Bombyx mori: one gene and its partners. The protein of the gene in region 1 interacts with the protein of each later gene in a pairwise test. Links are inferred from orthologs where the notes say so. Each region holds a gene or a part of one and is shown on either strand. Other genes may lie near its edges.

What was found.
Region 2: the proteins of E3 ubiquitin-protein ligase NRDP1 (region 1) and uncharacterized protein LOC101736064 interact in binary tests that used the Homo sapiens proteins (3 or more experiments, as listed by UniProt). The link is inferred for Bombyx mori from reciprocal best matches to the Homo sapiens genes RNF41 and ISCA2.
Region 3: the proteins of E3 ubiquitin-protein ligase NRDP1 (region 1) and homer protein homolog 2 interact in binary tests that used the Homo sapiens proteins (3 or more experiments, as listed by UniProt). The link is inferred for Bombyx mori from reciprocal best matches to the Homo sapiens genes RNF41 and HOMER2.
Region 4: the proteins of E3 ubiquitin-protein ligase NRDP1 (region 1) and Ubcd4 interact in binary tests that used the Homo sapiens proteins (3 or more experiments, as listed by UniProt). The link is inferred for Bombyx mori from reciprocal best matches to the Homo sapiens genes RNF41 and UBE2K.
Region 5: the proteins of E3 ubiquitin-protein ligase NRDP1 (region 1) and vacuolar protein sorting-associated protein 52 homolog interact in binary tests that used the Homo sapiens proteins (3 or more experiments, as listed by UniProt). The link is inferred for Bombyx mori from reciprocal best matches to the Homo sapiens genes RNF41 and VPS52.

The regions. Positions count from the first base shown.
Region 1 is NC_085128.1:13,449,089-13,452,484, reverse strand, and holds part of E3 ubiquitin-protein ligase NRDP1, read right to left. Parts: exon of another isoform or gene 3,243-3,396; coding exon 3,037-3,242; exon of another isoform or gene 2,761-3,036; coding exon 2,602-2,760; intron 2,388-2,601; exon of another isoform or gene 1,432-2,387; coding exon 1,301-1,431; intron 639-1,300; coding exon 500-638; 3' UTR 1-499. UniProt on the Homo sapiens protein: Acts as E3 ubiquitin-protein ligase and regulates the degradation of target proteins. Polyubiquitinates MYD88. Negatively regulates MYD88-dependent production of pro-inflammatory cytokines.
Region 2 is NC_085109.1:8,402,488-8,406,522, forward strand, and holds the start of uncharacterized protein LOC101736064, read left to right. Parts: upstream 1-1,235; 5' UTR 1,236-1,383; coding exon 1,384-1,637; intron 1,638-3,770; coding exon 3,771-3,948; 3' UTR 3,949-4,035. UniProt on the Homo sapiens protein: Involved in the maturation of mitochondrial 4Fe-4S proteins functioning late in the iron-sulfur cluster assembly pathway. May be involved in the binding of an intermediate of Fe/S cluster assembly.
Region 3 is NC_085134.1:1,990,121-1,994,108, reverse strand, and holds the start of homer protein homolog 2, read right to left. Parts: upstream 2,807-3,988; 5' UTR 2,695-2,806; coding exon 2,669-2,694; intron 1-2,668. UniProt on the Homo sapiens protein: Postsynaptic density scaffolding protein. Binds and cross-links cytoplasmic regions of GRM1, GRM5, ITPR1, DNM3, RYR1, RYR2, SHANK1 and SHANK3.
Region 4 is NC_085107.1:6,308,539-6,312,550, reverse strand, and holds the start of Ubcd4 (ubiquitin conjugating enzyme 4), read right to left. Parts: upstream 2,807-4,012; coding exon 2,744-2,806; intron 1-2,743. UniProt on the Homo sapiens protein: Accepts ubiquitin from the E1 complex and catalyzes its covalent attachment to other proteins. In vitro, in the presence or in the absence of BRCA1-BARD1 E3 ubiquitin-protein ligase complex, catalyzes the synthesis of 'Lys-48'-linked polyubiquitin chains.
Region 5 is NC_085110.1:11,273,494-11,277,313, reverse strand, and holds the end of vacuolar protein sorting-associated protein 52 homolog, read right to left. Parts: intron 2,673-3,820; coding exon 2,549-2,672; intron 2,005-2,548; coding exon 1,375-2,004; 3' UTR 507-1,374; downstream 1-506. Other genes in the region: uncharacterized protein LOC101744334, read left to right, coding at 1-84. UniProt on the Homo sapiens protein: Acts as a component of the GARP complex that is involved in retrograde transport from early and late endosomes to the trans-Golgi network (TGN).

The DNA of each region.
Region 1 (3,396 bases):
CAAAGGCAAAAGTTCCAGAAACCAACTTTACTATTAACACGTGTGTCAGTATGGAGTGAGTGAGATGCTTGTCAGCATAGTCAACCCTTCAACAACAATTTAACACTTAATTGTAATAGCTTTTCGTGAGCTAAATGCACAGTTTTAGCAACTAATTTCGCTGTAAGTTCTGTGTGCTTAGTGAGAGTTTTTTAACGTTCTCGATAGCGTAAAAGTTAGCTCATATTTGTATGGAATGGGATCGTTTGCCTACGTTTGCCGCTAGGGGCGCTGTTCCAACTGCATACAAAATTGGCTTAACTTTTACGCTATCGAGAACGTTATGAAACTCGCACTGAGCACAGTGAATTCATTGCAATTGCACCGCACTAAAATTTAGGACTTTTACCACGTTGGAATAAATTCACCTATGCGTAAGCAACATTCAGAACACTCATTGAAAGATCACTGTACAGTAGAGCGGGCGCCGTGACGTCACGACGCAGCGCCTCAGAGTCCGCTATTCGATTCCGTGCGCGAATATCATGACCAGCCCGGGCTCCACCATCATGTGCTCGTCGACGTGTGTGTTGTCGCAATGAAGAACCAGCACCGCCTGTTTGCCTGGCACCCTCTTGCAAACATACTTTTCGTATAGCCTGTGAATTTTATAACATTAAAAAAAATAATAGGGCCAGTGTGATAGGCTATTGTGGTATTTTTACTGGTGGCAGGACCTCTTGTGAGTCCGCACGGGTAGGTACCACCACCCCGCCTATTTCTGACGTGAAGCAGTAATGCGTTTCGATTTAAAGGGTGGGGCAGCCGTTGTAGCTACATTGAGACCTTAGAACTTATGTCTCAAGGTGGGTGGCGCATTTACTTTGTAGATGTCTATGGGCTTCAGTAACCGCTTAACACCAGGATGGCTGTGAACTCGTCCACCCATCTAAGCAATAAAAAAGGGCTATTTAAAACTACAGCTTCGAATAATGTTTTATTTATTATCAATATGTAATTCTGGCAAAAAATCAAAAGGTCTCTAATGATGTTCAAATATGACAAAATTAAAATTATAGTAGATGAAAGTTTCTGAAAGGCTCATGACACATCAAACCCCTTTTTGAACATAAACATCTGCAGTTATTTTTAATGATGACATTATAAACATAGGGTGCATAACTTTGTTTTATTCGACAATATCTCAATACAAGATTCAAAATGTAAAAATACGAAAAACTAAAACTACCTATTCTTTTTATTTAATATTATGGATCGCTTAAGCATTGGAAATAAATCTCGATATTATTGCAATCGGTACCTTCTATTATTTTGTCTAGTTTCAAGTGACGACAGTCCTGGCGGCCACCGCCTCTCGTGACAATTTTCCATTAGATCGTCTATGATGTGCGGGGGACAGCCGGATTCCGATAAACTTCGTTTGATCATCATCTGTTAACGAACTAAATTGTGAAAACACTTTCTGGTAGTTACAAGGCATTAACTTTGCATGGAATATGAAAATTTTTGGGTGTTACCTGGTGGTCGGAGGATATTTTTCGAGCAAATGTATCATACATACAACATTCTATTCCATAATTACTCGCATTTTTATAGCGTTCATATTAATGAAAAATATACAAACGTAGTGAAAAGAAAACACTAATCAATAAAGAAATGACTGATATTGAAAATCAAATTAATTTCATTTAAGTAATTATTACCAGCCAGACATAAATTATGGTTTATAGCGGTCAAATCAAATCAAATCAAATCAAATCAAAAATTTTTTATTCAACATAAATGAAAGTACATACTTGTTGAACGTCAAAAGAACTACCGCCAATTCACAAGAACTAGCCTCCGTCCTGAGAAGAATTGGCAAGAAACTCAGCGGGCATGTTTTTTTTTTTTTTTAATAAGCAATTATTATTTATTAATTTTTTAATATTACATTTTTTTTTTAAATATGAGTTTTTTACAATGAGTATTATAACGTAACAATTACTACAATATTGAAATGCCCGGAGCGAGCAACTCATTCCCACTTTGTGCAATCTTCTAGATAATCATTGACTTTATAGTAAGCTTTATTGCACAGATGTTCTTTAACAGTTTTCTTAAACCTATGTATATGTAGGTTCTGAACATCTTGTGGGATTTTGTTGTACAGGCGCACAAACACCCGAATGAATTTCTTATCTTATGTAACCTACTCATCGGCACAACAAGCTTGTGTTTGTTCCTAGTCAGTATCGTAAAACAGCAATTTTGTAGATAAAGACCTAATGTATGTTATTTGTGTGTAATTTAAGGATCTCGTCTGCAATTTTTTTAGTAAAATTCACATTATATTTCAATATTTATATTTATAGTATATTAGTGAGTTATTATAGAGCTTGCTTTTTGTAAGTATTTTATAGCTTATTTTTTGGTTTTCAAAGACTCAAAATCAATGATTCCATGTGGCCAGATTCCATGTGGCCAGATTAGGTATTATTTGAAAAGTCCTAAAACATTCGATGTACCTACTCGCGTTGCGATCTGTATATAATGCAAGCTGATACGAATTTTTCTTACATTATAGAGAATTACTTTTATCTTATTAAAAAATGTACATAATACCTGCAGAACATCATCTGGAGTAGAGATCATGCCACCCCACCTGGTGACCCTCGCCCTGGCCAGTGAGTTGGCCCAGCGCACCACCTCCTCGCGCTCCATCTGATCCGCCAATGCACGCATCGTTGGATTCGACACGCGCATCGCTCTCATGAACTCCTTCAAGAAAATGTTCCTGATTTAAAAGTGGTTAGATTTGCGCATCTCATTTTAATGGTTGCTTTATAGAATTCGATTAATCGAAATTTTTTAACTTAAGGAGACCAAGTTATTGTTTGTTATGTTTAAACTTTAACAAGTTAACTGATATTTATAAATATAAATTAACATAATGTTAAAGTTCACATTTCTTTTTATGTAGGTAATACGTAGGTAGAAAGAATCTACATTGAATGTGTTATTTAAGAAAAAACTACAAATAGTAAAAAAACATACCTTTAATAATGCCAATTCTCGTTTGTGCTCATTAATAACGAGCCTCTGTTCAGCCAGTTCTTGCTGGTAATCATTCAGCTTCCCCTGCTGAGTGGCTATCAGTGCTCTAAGCTCACGTACACAATTATGTTGGGCTAATTCATCTTTTGGTATCACCAGTCCACATCCTGCCTCACAAGGTATTGGTCGTTTAGGATTAAATTCACCTGTTCGACAGATTAATCTTATTAGCCATGTATTATCAAACACGGACATAATTTCATAACAGAAACAAATTATTTATGGTTTATATTTTTTACAATTTCGATTACAATAAATAAAATAATTTACACAAATAGACGACTTTTTAAGAATAAGTTA
Region 2 (4,035 bases), on another chromosome or scaffold:
TCATACAGTATCTATGAAAGCGAATAAATGGATACAATGAAATGGAGTCCTAGGGCGTGTCTTCTTGGGTTCTTTGGCTTATTTATTTTCTATTTCTATTTTAGATCATCAAGGTGTTGATACATTTTTGTTACAATTTGTATTTTACAGCCATGGATTTAACCTAAAAAACTTTACACGTATAGCGTTTGTTTCTTTTGCTTACATAAATTAGAAAAACATGTTTTGTTTTCTTTAATAGGGGTGTCAATTCTTTTCGAAAAATTTCGAACTTAAAAATCGATTCGATACTCTATCGAACCACATAAAAAATCGAGGTCTAAAACTTCGATTATTCAAGAAGCGGTTTTTTTCAGTTTGCATTCAGCTGGCAGTGACCCTGACTGCGCCGAGGGTTATGGGTTCGATTCCCACATCGGGCTAACATTAGTGTGATGAAAGGTTTATTGCCTGAGTGTTTATTATTTATATATCTATATTTTTAAACATATATAAGTATATATATCACTCTCTGATACCCATAGCACAGATAATCCCAATCTGGGGCCAGATGTCCCCTGCGTCATTTGTTCCCAGTTATTAATTATTTATTCCATCTGATCGTGCGGTGTATGGAGTATATAAATAAATAATTTACCAAATATGAAGACAGAAATGCAATTATCGCTTTCAGAGGAATAGTCACTAAAGGACTATTGTGTTTACCACAAGAACTAATGTTTAATTAATAGGAGAAAAATATAATAGAGATGAGATTGCTATGGATGTAGAATTGGAAAGTTCATCATTGAAAATAGTGCTAGTTCCAGAAAATTATGTGCGGTTTTTTTTATTGAGCTGCCAATTGGTTGCTTTTTTTAAGTTCTTATGTGGGTGTACGAGCCCACGGCCCACCTGGTGTTAAGTGGTTGCCGTAGTCCATAGACATCAACAACATAAATACCATCATCCACTTTGAGACATGAGTTTCGAATTTTAATTTTTATAGTACAATTGCTGCCCTACCCTTCAAACCGAAACTTAATACTGCGTCACGGCAGAAACAGGCAGAGTAGTGTCATTCACCCATGGGGGCTCACGAACAAGTACGTAAATTATAATTTTTGCGCATTAGATTTTTATTACACGATTAAAAATCGATCTTATTTGGCCAAAAATCAATGTCGGATCGGCCTCCGTAATTCTCGAAAATTTTCGGTACAAGCAAAGCGCAAGTCTACATAATATGTCATTGTCAATGTCAATTGTGGTACACCTATGTACATAGATTATACACTTCCTATGTATGTCTCAAGTATCTTTATGTAGGCTGTGACTAGAATAGAATTAAATAATAAACTTAGTTAAAGCACTGGAAGATATTTTTCTAGAATACGAAAGAAAATGTTTTTACGTTTTAGAAATTTACACCAGTTAAAAAAGTTTGTTAATGTAAACACATTAAACAAAAGATTCTCCCAAGAACCAGCAACTTCTGTTTCAAGTACAGATATCAGTATTAGTGACAATTGTGTACAAAAATTAAAAGAATTATGTAAAGAAAACGATACCTTTCTGAGGCTTTGTGTAGAAAGTGGTGGATGCTCTGGATTCCAGTATAAATTCAACTTAGACAATGTTGTTGATAGTGATGACAGGTATGTATTAGAGCAAAATATCGAAGTACTCTGCTATACAACTCACTTTTGATTGCATAAGATAGTGGCAGAATAAAAAGAATAAGAAAAGAGCTGTAACAAAACTCGTGGAAAGAATATTCAGTGCTATTATTTTAGAAATTAAGAAGCATTCTTGTCAAATATATAATATCATTTTTCAAACTCATTTTTCATTCTGTATAATAATAATAATGAATATTATATTGTAATATTATTCTTCATTTCTTTATCAATGTAGAAGACATTGTGTTTTCTTAATGGTCTAAATGAGAGACTTCAATCAGTCTGGACTAAATTCCTATATCCCAAAAATATACACAAGTACAACAAAAGTTACTAATATTATGATAACTTAATTAGGAAAATCAGGACCTTTTATTAGCAACAAATTTTTATCAAAGTAATTGCTTAGTCTTGATTGGTTAAATTCTCCTGCATTGGAGTTAAAATAATAGCAACTAATCAAACACTATGAAAACAAATAAATAACCTTTAAGAATAAAACTATACATTTTAAAAGAGAAAAATTCTATGAAAATAGTGCTGGACTTGTGGTATACTAGCTGTTACTTGCAATGCTTTGCTGTTTTTTTGTGTAATATGAAACTTATACTTTTAATAACCAATTATGTATTACAATCTTTTATATAATAATAATTTATTTATTAACCTTGAAAACATTTACACATAACAGTTTGCTAAAAACTCTTCACACTAGGCACTGCCTGTCTCATGGAGAGTTTTTAGATGAAAGGCCCAGGATTGAGTCGTGTGTAGTGCCATGGGAGATGCCTAAGTCCAACAGTGGAGTAAATAGGCTGCAAATGAAGTACTTATACAATCCAACTTCTTTGTCTCTCTCTCTCTCTCTCTCTCTCTCTCTAATATATATATAATAATTATATAAATAAGTATATAATTATATGAAGCATACAAACCATACTTGTAATATATTATAAATAGAATTTGCTTCTTAACCTTGCACATCTATACCAAATAATTTGATCTTTGATGAGACTGATCATAAAATTTGGAATGTAGATTATCAATGATACAGAAAAGCACAGAGAATACTGTCCGTTCAGAACAAGAAGCTGTTCTAGGGATATGTGATTTCTATTTATAGATTATAATTTCTTTTATTGCCCTTGTAGGTATACAAGCATACAGCCCACTTGATAGTGAATGGTTACCGTCACTCATGATCATCACTAATGCCAGGGGCAGAGCCAAGCCGCCGCCTATAATGCATGAAGCAGAGTGTAAAAGTTAGTAAAGAATAAATTGTTCATTATGTATCCATTCATTTATATTATAAATAAAATTAGTGTTAAAATAATTTTTTTCAATAATTGCCAATTTAATTTTTTTTGGGTTCTGAGCAAACATTTAGAGTATATTTTATGCTTGATTTGGTAAGCCAATACATCATAATTATTTTTTATGATCATCTTAATATTTTTATATGAATTTTTATGAAAGGAAAAAGAGTATAAAAAGCCGATACATCTTTTAGTATACTTTATTATAACATTCTCATTTTGTTGCTACTCTAATACAAAACCCTATAACCCTATTAACCCTATTACATACCACACCCTTGCCCCTTTTGCTTTAATATTCGTTTTTTTTGTCAATATTTTCTCTTGTTGAAAAATTATTTTAACGATGGAAACCGATGCATTAGCAGTAGTGACTTTTTAATAATGAGGACATCAAGATAGCTAGACGTAAAATGATTGGCTTCATTGGACATGACAGCCTAAAAAAAAATGCATTAATTTTTAGGGGCATTATGAAATGATGAATTTTTAATCTTCAAATTTACTTGAACTTTATTTTGTTATGTTTTTTTTTATAAGTTCAAGATATTCCAGTTGACGTTGTTTAAATATCAATCTCGTAATTTCTGAACTGAAAAAAAATACTACTATTCATTACTACATTTGCCAAAGTTAACATTTTTGCCAAAGGGCCTAAGGAATTTAAGGTTATGCTATTTAGTAATTCAATGTTTTTGTAATTGCATTGAATATGTACGGAAGCTCGCATTATTGTTTTAAGGAAATAGATGAAACAAAACTTCATTGACTAACCAAGTTTTTTTTTCAGGATATTTGAAAAAAATGGTGTCAAAGTGGTGGTTGATGAGACGTCACTTGAGTATATTAAAGGTTCAACAATAGATTATCACACTGAACTTATTAGGTCTGCTTTCCGAGTGCAACAGAACCCAAATGCAGATATAGGTTGCTCTTGCGGTGCTAGTTTTTCTATAAAAATTGATTGAAATGGCCATATTAAACCACTGTAAATTTTTTATGCAATTATGGAAAATAATTTAGTTAAGAAATGAATGATTAGATAGATTATAATA
Region 3 (3,988 bases), on another chromosome or scaffold:
GCGGAAAAGAGGACATATTGCGCGACCTCACATAGTTTGACAAGGGCAATTTTAACATACATCAGGACCATGATTGTTTTAAAAACAATAATAAAAGTACAAAAACATGACCTACCCACTCAATTCTAAAGTAATGCAAACAAACATTCAGATATCATTTTGGGTTAAAATAGTCAGCAAGTCAACAACATAGTGGATACAGTAATATTTTTGAAGATTATTACATACATCTATACCAATATATAACTCTACAGTGGTTTTTACGGGTGTTCCATTATAACTACTGAACCATGCATCCGATCGACTTGAAACTTAGTATCCATGTAGAAAATACATGTACTTAATGGACAGGGTAATATTTATATGAGTGTATGACTCCCTACACAAGTTGCGAGGGCGTTAATGATGAGAATCTTTGTGCGGGTGAGAAATAATAATGTTAATTTTAAATGCCTAGCGAAGTGAGTGGGTACAGCTAGTATGTACATGTTATATATATATACATTACATGTATATACATACATTACATGCATATTATTGTATACATTTGGACTATTACTAGTTTACTAATCGTATTTCTGTTTAAAGATACTTCTGCTTATGTGTTTCTTACAAGCCTTATTAGATTTATTGTGCTAATATGTACCGATTTCGGTTATTAAAATACAAACAGGCATACATATATACTAAAGCATTTGAATTGAGATAAAGTATAATGCATATCTAACTACAATCTCAAGTGTCTCAAGATAGAAATAGCATTTATGTTGCAATTTATTTTTATTTTTTGCTCTACAGCCTATAGTTATCACAGTGCATATGCAGCCTCTCGTCTGCCTGCACACAACAATAAAAAACGAACCATAAAATAAAAGCCCTATTGTTCATAATTGAGAAACCCATTTCTAATGATTAGAAACATAAATCCAGACATACACTGTTAAAACTTATCAAAGATAACATTTTAAATAGTATTTATTTATGTACAGATTTTGGTCTAAAATGTCTAAGTAGACATTTTAGACCAAAATCATTTTAACTAACAAAATGTAATAGACATTAGACCACACAAAAAGAACTACACAGGAATGATCAACAAAAATAGATTATTTATGAAGACAGATCAGACTTTGTTCTAGGAATATAAAAATATGATGCATTGCTGGTGCCATGAAAACCTGTGAAATAATTATAGGAAGCGTGTCTATCTACATACATAAATATTATCAATCCTTACAATGTTTTGTGGTATGTTCATTACTTTGTAACATATTGTTGTGTGAGCTGTTCTCATTATTGTACAGCTTGTATTGAATGTAATTCGGAATTAAAATTGACTTCAATGTTTTGTCAAAACAAATTTGTTACTACATTATTCACATGAAAGATCACTGACATTGTGATCAACATACTTCATCTATTTTTGTCTAGCAAAGAACCTAAGCAATACAACTACAACTTATCATATTCAATCATAGACCAGCAGAAATCTAAGCTGATATTTAATTTAGAAATGGAATTAGTAGTAAATAAAGTAAAGTATAATTGTAGTAATTCAGTACATAATTGTATTTATTATTTTGATTTTTTTTATCATTTATGTTGTATTTATCATTAATACTTGTATTTATTGTATAAATAAATATTTCCTTTCATGCCTCAACCAATACACCTGCTACGATCGAAATGTAAAATATAAATAAATTAAAATTAAACTCGTATTTTTTGAATTAATTTAGAGAAACACTCAGTCAAAAGTAAGCACTATATTCAACAACCTTAAGAGTCGATTTCCTATTTTATAGGTACCAGAAACACTCATTTAGGTTTTGAATATGCATGCACAGTATCTTAAAGATACTGACTAGCTGGAATTGAACTTGGATCCTTTATCACTATTGACAAGGTCACTACTACGTCAATAATGTTATATTATAAAAGTTTTCAATCTGGATTTAAAAAACCTACAATATGTTGTGTATACATTTCCATGATGAGTATTGAATGATAGAGTTGAAATGATATATTGATTTTTAAGACTTCACGTTATGTTCCCACAATAACTTTGGTATAGTTTTAGCTCCTTGTTCATTAATAATTGAATTTGTCTTTCATGACAGTGAATATTTAATTTTGAAGAAAATATATTTTTTTAATAAATATTATTCTTATTTTTTTTTATAGTTTTTCTTAAATGTTTATTATTAATGAGGAAAACCTCATATATTTATGTTATTCCTCTCGGTATTCTAAACAGGATACCAGGCGCACATGAATTGATACAATTTAATGAACTAGAAAACGCAGGCTTTATAAATAGAAGGCCAAAGGGCCAACGACTGCGGTCGGGCAAAATCATTCAATCGATGTGCAAATAATCATTTAAGCGGAAATACTTAACGGCGCTTTAAAACGCAAAATAATACTGTAATTTTTTTGTTTTTATTTTTAAATATTTTATTTCTTCATTCCTTTTAGTATACACTTATTTTAAGTTAATAATTAAAGGCATTTATTTTTTGTCCAAAAATATCCCTTCGAAGTGGTAAATGCATCCCCACCCTATACCCAGTAATGTGTTAACAGGAATGAATTTTGAAGTGAAATCTCTTTTGGATTTCCAAAAAACCTTCGACATTTATAACTTAAAGCATAAAAATTAACTCACCCCATTGTTTCTTTTCCTGCGGTCATTTAAAACACAAAATTAATGAAAATATTTTACTTCATATTTCCCTAATTTTTCACTTGAGATCTGTCATAAGCGTTCGGTACCCATAGACTAAAGACTAAAAGTCAATTGAACATAGCAAAATTCTACAGAATGTTTATGGATGGTACAAAAAATGACTCTATTCATAGTTTTTTAACATGAACTGTTTTATTACTACTTTAACAAAGTTATGTAAAAAAATCTTGTATTAATACATTTGTAAATACACGGTAGTCCATAAGCCACCTAATTTCTTAACATTTCATTCAACAATGACTTTACTACTGCACGCTAGATGTCACTGAACGTCTTGTCTGTTTTGTTAAAAGGCTTAACTATTTTTGTTTTTCTTGAAAATAATAATTATAAATAAAACATTTTCATTTTAAAATAGTGTGAATGGACCTGCCGTCCTTTACCACTTGAATCAGTCTTTAAGCATGGAAACAAAATAACCGAGCAACATTTTTTTTAATGCTCCTATGTTGATGTAGTACAACTACTCTTCACTAGATGTCACTAAATTAAAATTTGTTAAAAATTGGTTTGCTAATTAATCGTTAACAATTTAAAAAAATAGTAACGACAAGTCTTTGCGACTTTCTACTCTATTGGATATGACCCTTTGACAACTGAGATACCTAAGGACATTTCTTGTATATTAAGTGTAGTGCTGTACTGACATTCTCAACCCGTTTCGACCACACGCATTAAGTCATGGTGTAAGCTGAGTGAAAGTAATTGAGTTCACCAAATAAAAATAAAACCGTTCTGTAGATGTAAGAACTAAAAACTTATGTAACGCTGTAAAAGCCGGATCGACATTACATTACTCATTCGCTCACACTTGTAATTTATTAAAACAATTGAATTTAATTTTATTGAATTTCTTTGGATTTCGCGAGTTCTAGACATTATTAAAACTATTTTTACGGCTTAATCTCGCGTTTTTGCTGTCGTTATATTATTTCGGTAGCATCAGAAATTTCATTATAATTTTTTTGGGATCTTAACATATTTCTGAATCTTACTACGTAATGACATTATTAATTTACTGAAATCAATATATTATATCAGACAAATGTATCTATAACTAATCTTATTTTACTGTTACTCTGTCAAACCATCACAGGACTCATTGGCGTTAACTGATTGCCAAAAGCCGTAGAAGTCAAATATGACCCACCTTGAGATCGTCTAAGTCTCATAGGTATTGTATAAAGCCTTCCTCTTTCTCCCGCCAGAAAACTTTCAATTCACCCAACGATCGTGGTG
Region 4 (4,012 bases), on another chromosome or scaffold:
ATCATATTTCAGGACGAAAATGGGTTCCAAACAGCTTTATGAATACGATACCGAAATTAAAAAAAAGAAAACCAAATTTAAAAATTAAAATTAGATCATTTTTTGATTTTGAGATAATTTGATCAATGTAATCAATGTCAATTAAATATAGATCAATAAGGATAACTCAAAAACGACTGCTCAGACTTCGATAAAAATTGAAATTTGATAATAAAAAAAAAAAGAATCATAAAAATCAGTTGACCGAGAAAAACTTTTGAATTAACACAAAAAACAGAGCTGAATTGATAAATAGCCTCCTTTTTATGAAGGCTGTTAAAGCCCTAGAATTGATTGAGATATAAGTAATATGATGTTACATCGCAATATGTAGATCTTGAAGAAATGATAATGAATCTTGATGAAAATCACATCCGCCACCATCGCCACAGACTCATACAGGAGTCAGTCATCGTTGACGTCCTAGACACGTCCTTACAGATCTATCTGATCCAATAACTCGTGCATTAGATACCTACAACTCTAACTCTAGGAGCAAGTATATCGCCACAGACTCACACAGGAGTCAGTCATCGTTGACGTTCTAGACACGTCCTTACAGATCTATCTGATCCAATAACTCTTGCATTAGATACCTGCAACTCTAACACTAGGAGCAAGTATAGGAACCCTGCTAACCGAACTCATCAAACTCGTCAGAGTTCAAAGTAAATCTACCCTCTATAACATTTAGAGCCTGCTAAATTTCTCGCCAGATCTTCTCAGTGGGGCGCAATTCCGGTCTGGTAGAAGATGAATTCGTGAAGCAATTGCCCTTGAGATGGCAGGTTTTCTTTAGAGGTGCTAAGGCAGTTGTTAGCAAATCCCACTCCTCCTGGCAATTACAACCCTCTTTGTTTTCCCTGCTGTTTATATTTGCAGAAACATAAACATTTGTTCCATTTAGATGTGAGGTGCTAGAAGATCTCAGTGGGCAGCCGTGCAGAAGCTAAAGGTTAGAGAGAGATAAGAAATTGTGCAAGCTTACAATGCAGCAAGTATGCACTTTTAGATATACAAATATGACTAACACAATTACACAATGTGTCATTGTACAGTATATTATTTCAGTACAGAAGGTTAAGAAAAGTAAATGCAAGAGCCCTGGTAATTCAATTTAATGAATGGTATTCCTGAAAAACTCTTAATATGGATCTCAATAAGAAGATAGTTCCAATAATCTACACTATATATAAATAAACAAAAATTGGGCCTTGGTGCTAATGCAGTGCAGATATTTTAAGTAGGAGTAACCTTCTTACTACACATGCTAGCTTTCAGATACAACCTAGGCAGTAAAAGATACTTGCTAATTGGAGAGCACATACTTGCAGGAAGTGCAAAAACTTTGTCTAATGAAAAATTCAGTTTTTGCTGGGTTTGGGCTAGGACTGAGATATTTAATATTCTTAGTCTACACAAACACAGAATCTTATACCTTTAAACAAGCAATTCTTGTATATATATATAATCTGAATCTCGGAAATGGCTCCAACGATTTTTATGAAATTTAGTATACATGGGATTTCAGGGAGCGATAAATCGATCTAGCTAGAATTTATTTTAGGAAATGTTGTTTTACTTGTGTTTTCAATAATCAACTTTATCGATAATCAACTTTATGACTTCCCGACATATATTGGCGAATAATAATACTATTTTTCATAATTGTTTAAAGACACAATAACACTAAAGTTATTTCCACAGATGACGTTGTTAAGCCAACCGAAAGACAATTTATCAAAAAAAAAATTAATACCGAGCAAAGCTCGGTCATCGTCTAGTTCATGTTTATGAGGACAATTACTATTGTAATCAAAATGTGGATTATGAATGCTGTTAGCTTAGTATCGCCTGGATCATGTTCGGTACATTAATGTATTACATGCATTGCACGCAGGTGTGCTCTTACAATTGCAATAAATAAGGCAATCTGTCCATGACAATAGTGCTACAGATATTTAATTTAAAAAAATTCGGTATGTTATGTGTAAATATTGCTACTTGGTAAGCTGAACACATATACAAGGGGATGCTGGTGCCCCACACACAAGTTCTATTTCAATGGCAATCAATAATGAGGGAATAAATCCAAAATAATGTAAAAATACCTGTACTATGTCTGGCTTTTTGGAAGTAAATGGTTGCCTGAAGCCACCAGTGTCATAACTGTGATTTGATAAATAAGCCAAAAATACTTTTGCTTGGGCATAAATCGGATAAAATCTTTTATTTTATTTTAAACACAACTTCAATTACTTATAAAGATCAATGTGGGTAATATAAGTATTGTTTCTATTAAAAACATTGGTAGAAAATATAGAAAACAAAATGTTTACTTTTTCTCGTATGAATCACGAAAAACATTATAGATGTATTTTGAAAAGCTAATTTTACTATTACGAAGCAGTAAAATAATTCCTTTTCGACGAATTAAAAATAGCATTAACGTTTTGAATTTAAACAAAACATGATTTCTACAAGTTTGCTGAATCACGCACACATTGTTCTGAACTGGCTATTTGTTCTTTGTTTTATTATATCGAGACAATCCAACAATTTAGTTTCTTGGGCAATTTAACTATCTAAATAATAATAATGCATTCCAACAAAATATGACATTTTAACAAAAGTGCAAGTAACTCCAGTTCTACATTCTAAACATCAAAACAAATATAAAGTTTAGTTAAATTATTATCCATACCTCTTCACTTTTCATTATCTCTTTGAACTCTCTTTTTATACGTTTGGCTGCTATATTTGCCATTGTTAAAATTCTACTTAATTTTCACTTATTGCTTTACTGGATTCAAAAACGTTTAAAGCGCACGATCGCAGGCGATGAAATAAAGAGATTGATACCAGGATATTCTACCAAAGAGTTTTCAAAAACGTATTCCGAGCAAATGTTTACCACTATATCTGAAATTAAATTCTACCACACCCTGACGTCGAACATAGACTAAAAATATAAATTTGACATTCTCTTCTCACTTACTAACGGTATTACCATATCATTGCAATAATTTTCGGTAGTTTTCTTTCTCTATGAATTTTACTTTCTCTGTATTTCGTTCAGAAATCTCACAGATCACTCAACATTTTGCATGAGATTTTAAAGAGAAACAGACCTCGCATTCGTAAACGCATTTCAATAGGCTTCAAGTCAAGTTGTGTACTGTGGTTGGTTTGAATGTGTGGCAATAATTTTATTACCGTCTGTGATTTCCTATTCGCAATATTAAAATAAAAGTTAATTTAGTTTCGTGATGTTTGCTGTTAATAATAGTGAGTAAGTTTTAGGTCTTATTTTGAGGTATGACCAGTGTTATAAACAGTCTAAGGACGAAGTTATGTTAATTTACTCCCTATGTCACCGGGTTCCACCTATGTACCTGGCGCTTAAAGGTGCGTTGTGATAATGTTTATGTTAAAATTTTGTCTAATGCATGCTAAGTACCTCAATCCAATAGTAGTTTATGTTATGAATTTAAAAATAAATGGTGTTTGAAATAAGAACATGATGCTCTCGCATACATAAATAACTCGTGCAAGGCTATGAAGGGCGCCCGTTGTTCCCGAATACACACTTCATTGTGTACAGTCGTTACCAGTACTTAATAAAATTCTATAAATGATTTACTGAGGATGCTTAACATTATCCAAACAATAAAAATAATGCATTTGTTTACTTAATTACAAGATAAAAGGCGTGTAACTTTATAGAAAACTAATGTAATTCTAACATTTTAGTGTATAAGTAACCAAATTAGACAATCATAATAAAATTAAAAGTGTGCTGTTAAAGGTGTAAAGGTAAAATTCTAACACACAGCAATTGCTTATTACAAATTTAATAAAGTCACTTCAAAAGAATGAGCTATCTTGTTCATCAATAACGAAAATATATTTTTAAGAAGTTATCAACAGTGAGCACTTATGAAAACGGTTCACAATACACACAAAGAACGGA
Region 5 (3,820 bases), on another chromosome or scaffold:
CCCGAACTAGAAGATGCTTTGCGAGACTTTGTCAAGTCGAAACCTTTAAGAACATGGAAAATTACATTAGCCAAAATTAGATAGTAGAAAAATATACTGTTTTGAAAATAGTGTGTGAGTAGTAGTTTAATTGGCTATTTTATTACATTTGACCGTAAATATATCTCTTGTATAAATTGTGTTGTCAGTTGTAATGTTGATAATGTTTCACAGTTTTATAGTGGAATGTGATCTTATTACTAAGTTATATATACTGTACAGAACTGTGAGGTTAATTTTATTTAAGTAAATCTATTTAGGCTAAGGCCCATAACTCAAGTTTGCATTTAAATAAACTACAATAATATATACTTTTGGTTAAATTTTCAAAATCAACATTATAGTTATTGTGTTTGTTTATCCACTTAACAAGAATTTTATGGAGGCCTATCAATTTATGATTGAATACTGTGATTGTAGTTTTCTGTTTAAGTTCAGAGTAGGTTTAAGATGATGAAAATAAAACATTTCATAAATATCTTGTTTATTTAGTTAACCGTAGCATTGTTCTAATAGCCACCAATTATTAAATAATATATTAATACTAGCAGACTCGGCCACACGTTGCTGTGGCTAACGTTTTTGTTTCTAAATAACACGTGGCTGGCTATGCTAATACCAAAAATTAACAAAGTAAGAACAATTGGATTTCACTGTATTGCGTTTACTACGAAATGAATTTTACTTATACTTTAGCCTCAACAACACGCGGTGTTGCCATTAAATTGTAGCTTATGTGAAACGTTGGTATTTTTAACACAGCGCCATCTATGACATATTATTTTCAGACAGTATTATAATTGTCTGTAAAAATTGGTTTAAGGCGCCATCTGTTTTAGACTTATGAAACTTACAATTAATAACAATAATCCACATAAGAAATAATTTTATTGTTAATTAATAAATATTGCGAGCATTAATCGAAATAAAAACCATCATAGGACCTAAGCTGGAACAAAACACATATTTAAAAAAAAAGGTAGTTAAAATCGGTTCAGTAGTTTAGATGTCCATCGCGGAGACAAGTATGTTGGAAACATTCGAGGAATAATTAAGGTTTGGTATGTAATATGTATGGTATGTAATACATACATTAAACATATATTTACTACAAAATCCAGAGTTCACAAATAAAACATATATTAGAGGTCATATACATGATGTCAAGTGCTCGAATTGCAATACTATTTCATTAAAACTGATTGTGCTGAAATACTCGATTGATTTTATGCGTCCATTTGGGAAATAAACAACTACATGTAATGATCATCATCATCATCATCATCACGTATTTGTGTATGTATATGATCTCATGTCGGAATGAAATCTAAGATTCTAAAAATTTGTTTTATATTTTTTTATTTCTACCATTATCACATGTATATTAACTAATTGAGTACGGGCACTGGGCGTTAAAAGTTTTACAAATTTGTGGTAATATTGAACGAAATTCGTTAACGCCATTTGCAACAGACCTGACCCGGTAACTAGATTTGGAAACGATACTAGCACTTCTCTATGTATTTCTTCTAGACTTTGTTTCCATCCCGAACTGAATGATGCTACAAGGGATAGAGATTTTCTTTCTAATCCGGCTAATTCTGCCTTTTTATCACCATCTAGCAATTGCTCACATTCCTTGACAAACTGTATCATTCCACCAAAATGTGGACTGAGAATCTCTTCTACATATTCTGAACTTCTTCCCTGTAATTGTTCCCTGAAGCTTTCTGCTTCTTTTGTGTTGTCTCTAGTTCTTTCCATTAATATGCTGAGGACCATGTCGTAATTATTAATTAAAAATATAAGCTGTTGTATTCTTTGAGGGAACTCTGCAGCCATTTTAAGTAAAAAACAATGGACTTCATCCTGAAGTACAGTCAGAAGTTTACTGAGTTCTTCAGACGGGAATTGTTCACTGAGGCTCAGCATAGCTGCCGAAAATTCGGCGTACCTTCGTGTTATCTGTAAAATGAAAGTTTTCAAGTAATTCATACTTTTACAGTTATTAACATTATGAATGACCTAGGTTCTTAGGACTCCTTTATGAATAATACGAATGTAAGACTTATATAAATATTATATAACATACTTATTTATTACATATATGAACTCTTAATGTGAAAAAAATGTAGTTTTGTGAATTCCAGATTCCACTTTCAAGGTTTCGTCATCGTAGCGAGATGAGATCGTAAAATAATTTCAAATAATGACAGTTGTTTCAATTTATTTATATACGAATATTTCTGGAATGATTACACAATTTTAAGATACTAAGTTTGAAACATAGCAAATTTATAATAATATTTTTTGTATTTATTACACTATGTATTTGTACACATTCGCGGACTAAAAGCCTAAGGCATTCTCTACCAGTCAACCGTAGGCAATGCAGAGAAAATAATTAGAGGTGTATTAATACAATTAAACCCAATTATATTGTAGGCAATAAATCCAGATCTAAAGCAAAATAATTTATACTAATGAAATTTAAATTGTAAATATTTACATAATGCGGTCCCATTTCCTTGTTTGACAGTTTAGAAGGGTCGCAGTCCCGTACGCTTTGAATGTTCAGTTTTAATACATATTGTAGCCGAGGCCACAAAGTGTTGTATAATGATTCCCAGTAACTGCAACAACATACGTACGAATATTAATTAGTTTAGCGTTTAAACTGACATAAAAATTGTGGTGTTGAGATTTACAGCATATCATTCTGTTTCATAGTTTTTATTTAATAGACTATTTATTTAATAATTAATTTATTTGATCAATGAAAACTTTAGGAACAAGTCCTTGTAAATAGTTAAGATGTTTTTCAGGGCTTTGTTAAATTTTTTGATTATTCAAGATTCTATATAAGATCTAATATATTATAAAATTCTCGTGTCACGGTGTGCGTGATATATATCCTTTGTAAACGTACTTTTCCTTATTCAAGGTTTCTGTATTCGCAGCATATTTACGGAAATACCCGATCCAGTGGACCGGATGGTAAACAGTCGACGTCGCCCTAAACACACTTCATTACGGATCCTCCGGATACATTAGCGGTGCTTTTAGGTACCTCAAGCACCAGTCCTCGCGACGAAAGGCTCGACGAAGTAAATTAACCCATAGACATAGCCCACTGAGTTTCTCGCCGGAACTTCTCAGTGAGTCGCATTTCCGATCCGGTGGTAAATTGTGCGAAGTACTGCTCTTGTTAGGGCCAGTGTTAGCAACACTCCCGGTTTGAGCCCCGTGAGCTCACCTACACGTCAAGGAGAAGCTGAAATAGCCTCTCAAGGCTATCAGCATAGGTAGGAAAAAAAACTTACAAAACATATATTCTGTGAATAAGGACCTTTTACTGTATATACATTTATCTGCGTGTTTGGGTCAAATGTAGCAAATTAAACCTCTACTTATCATACGGAGTTGAACTTTTACTTCTTGGTTCAATTTCAGTGATGAGAGTATTTTTATGGTAAGCAATGACCATAAAAATGAGCTTTAGGTAAAGCAACTCTTCAAAGGTACACAGCATAGATATGAGATTTTGTTGTACGCATTTATTATGTGTGTATTTTAGATTTTATCGTTACATGGTGTTGCTGCGCTGAGGGTTGGTTTCTGAATAAGGAACTCTTCAATGGGCAGCATAGATATTAAAAATATATGCATTCAGTTATGATGAGTGATTTCTCAGTTTCATCATCTCATGGTTACAGCCCTCAAAATGAACAGCACTGGCACAATCTACTTGTATACTAATATTATAAAGCTGAAGAGTTTG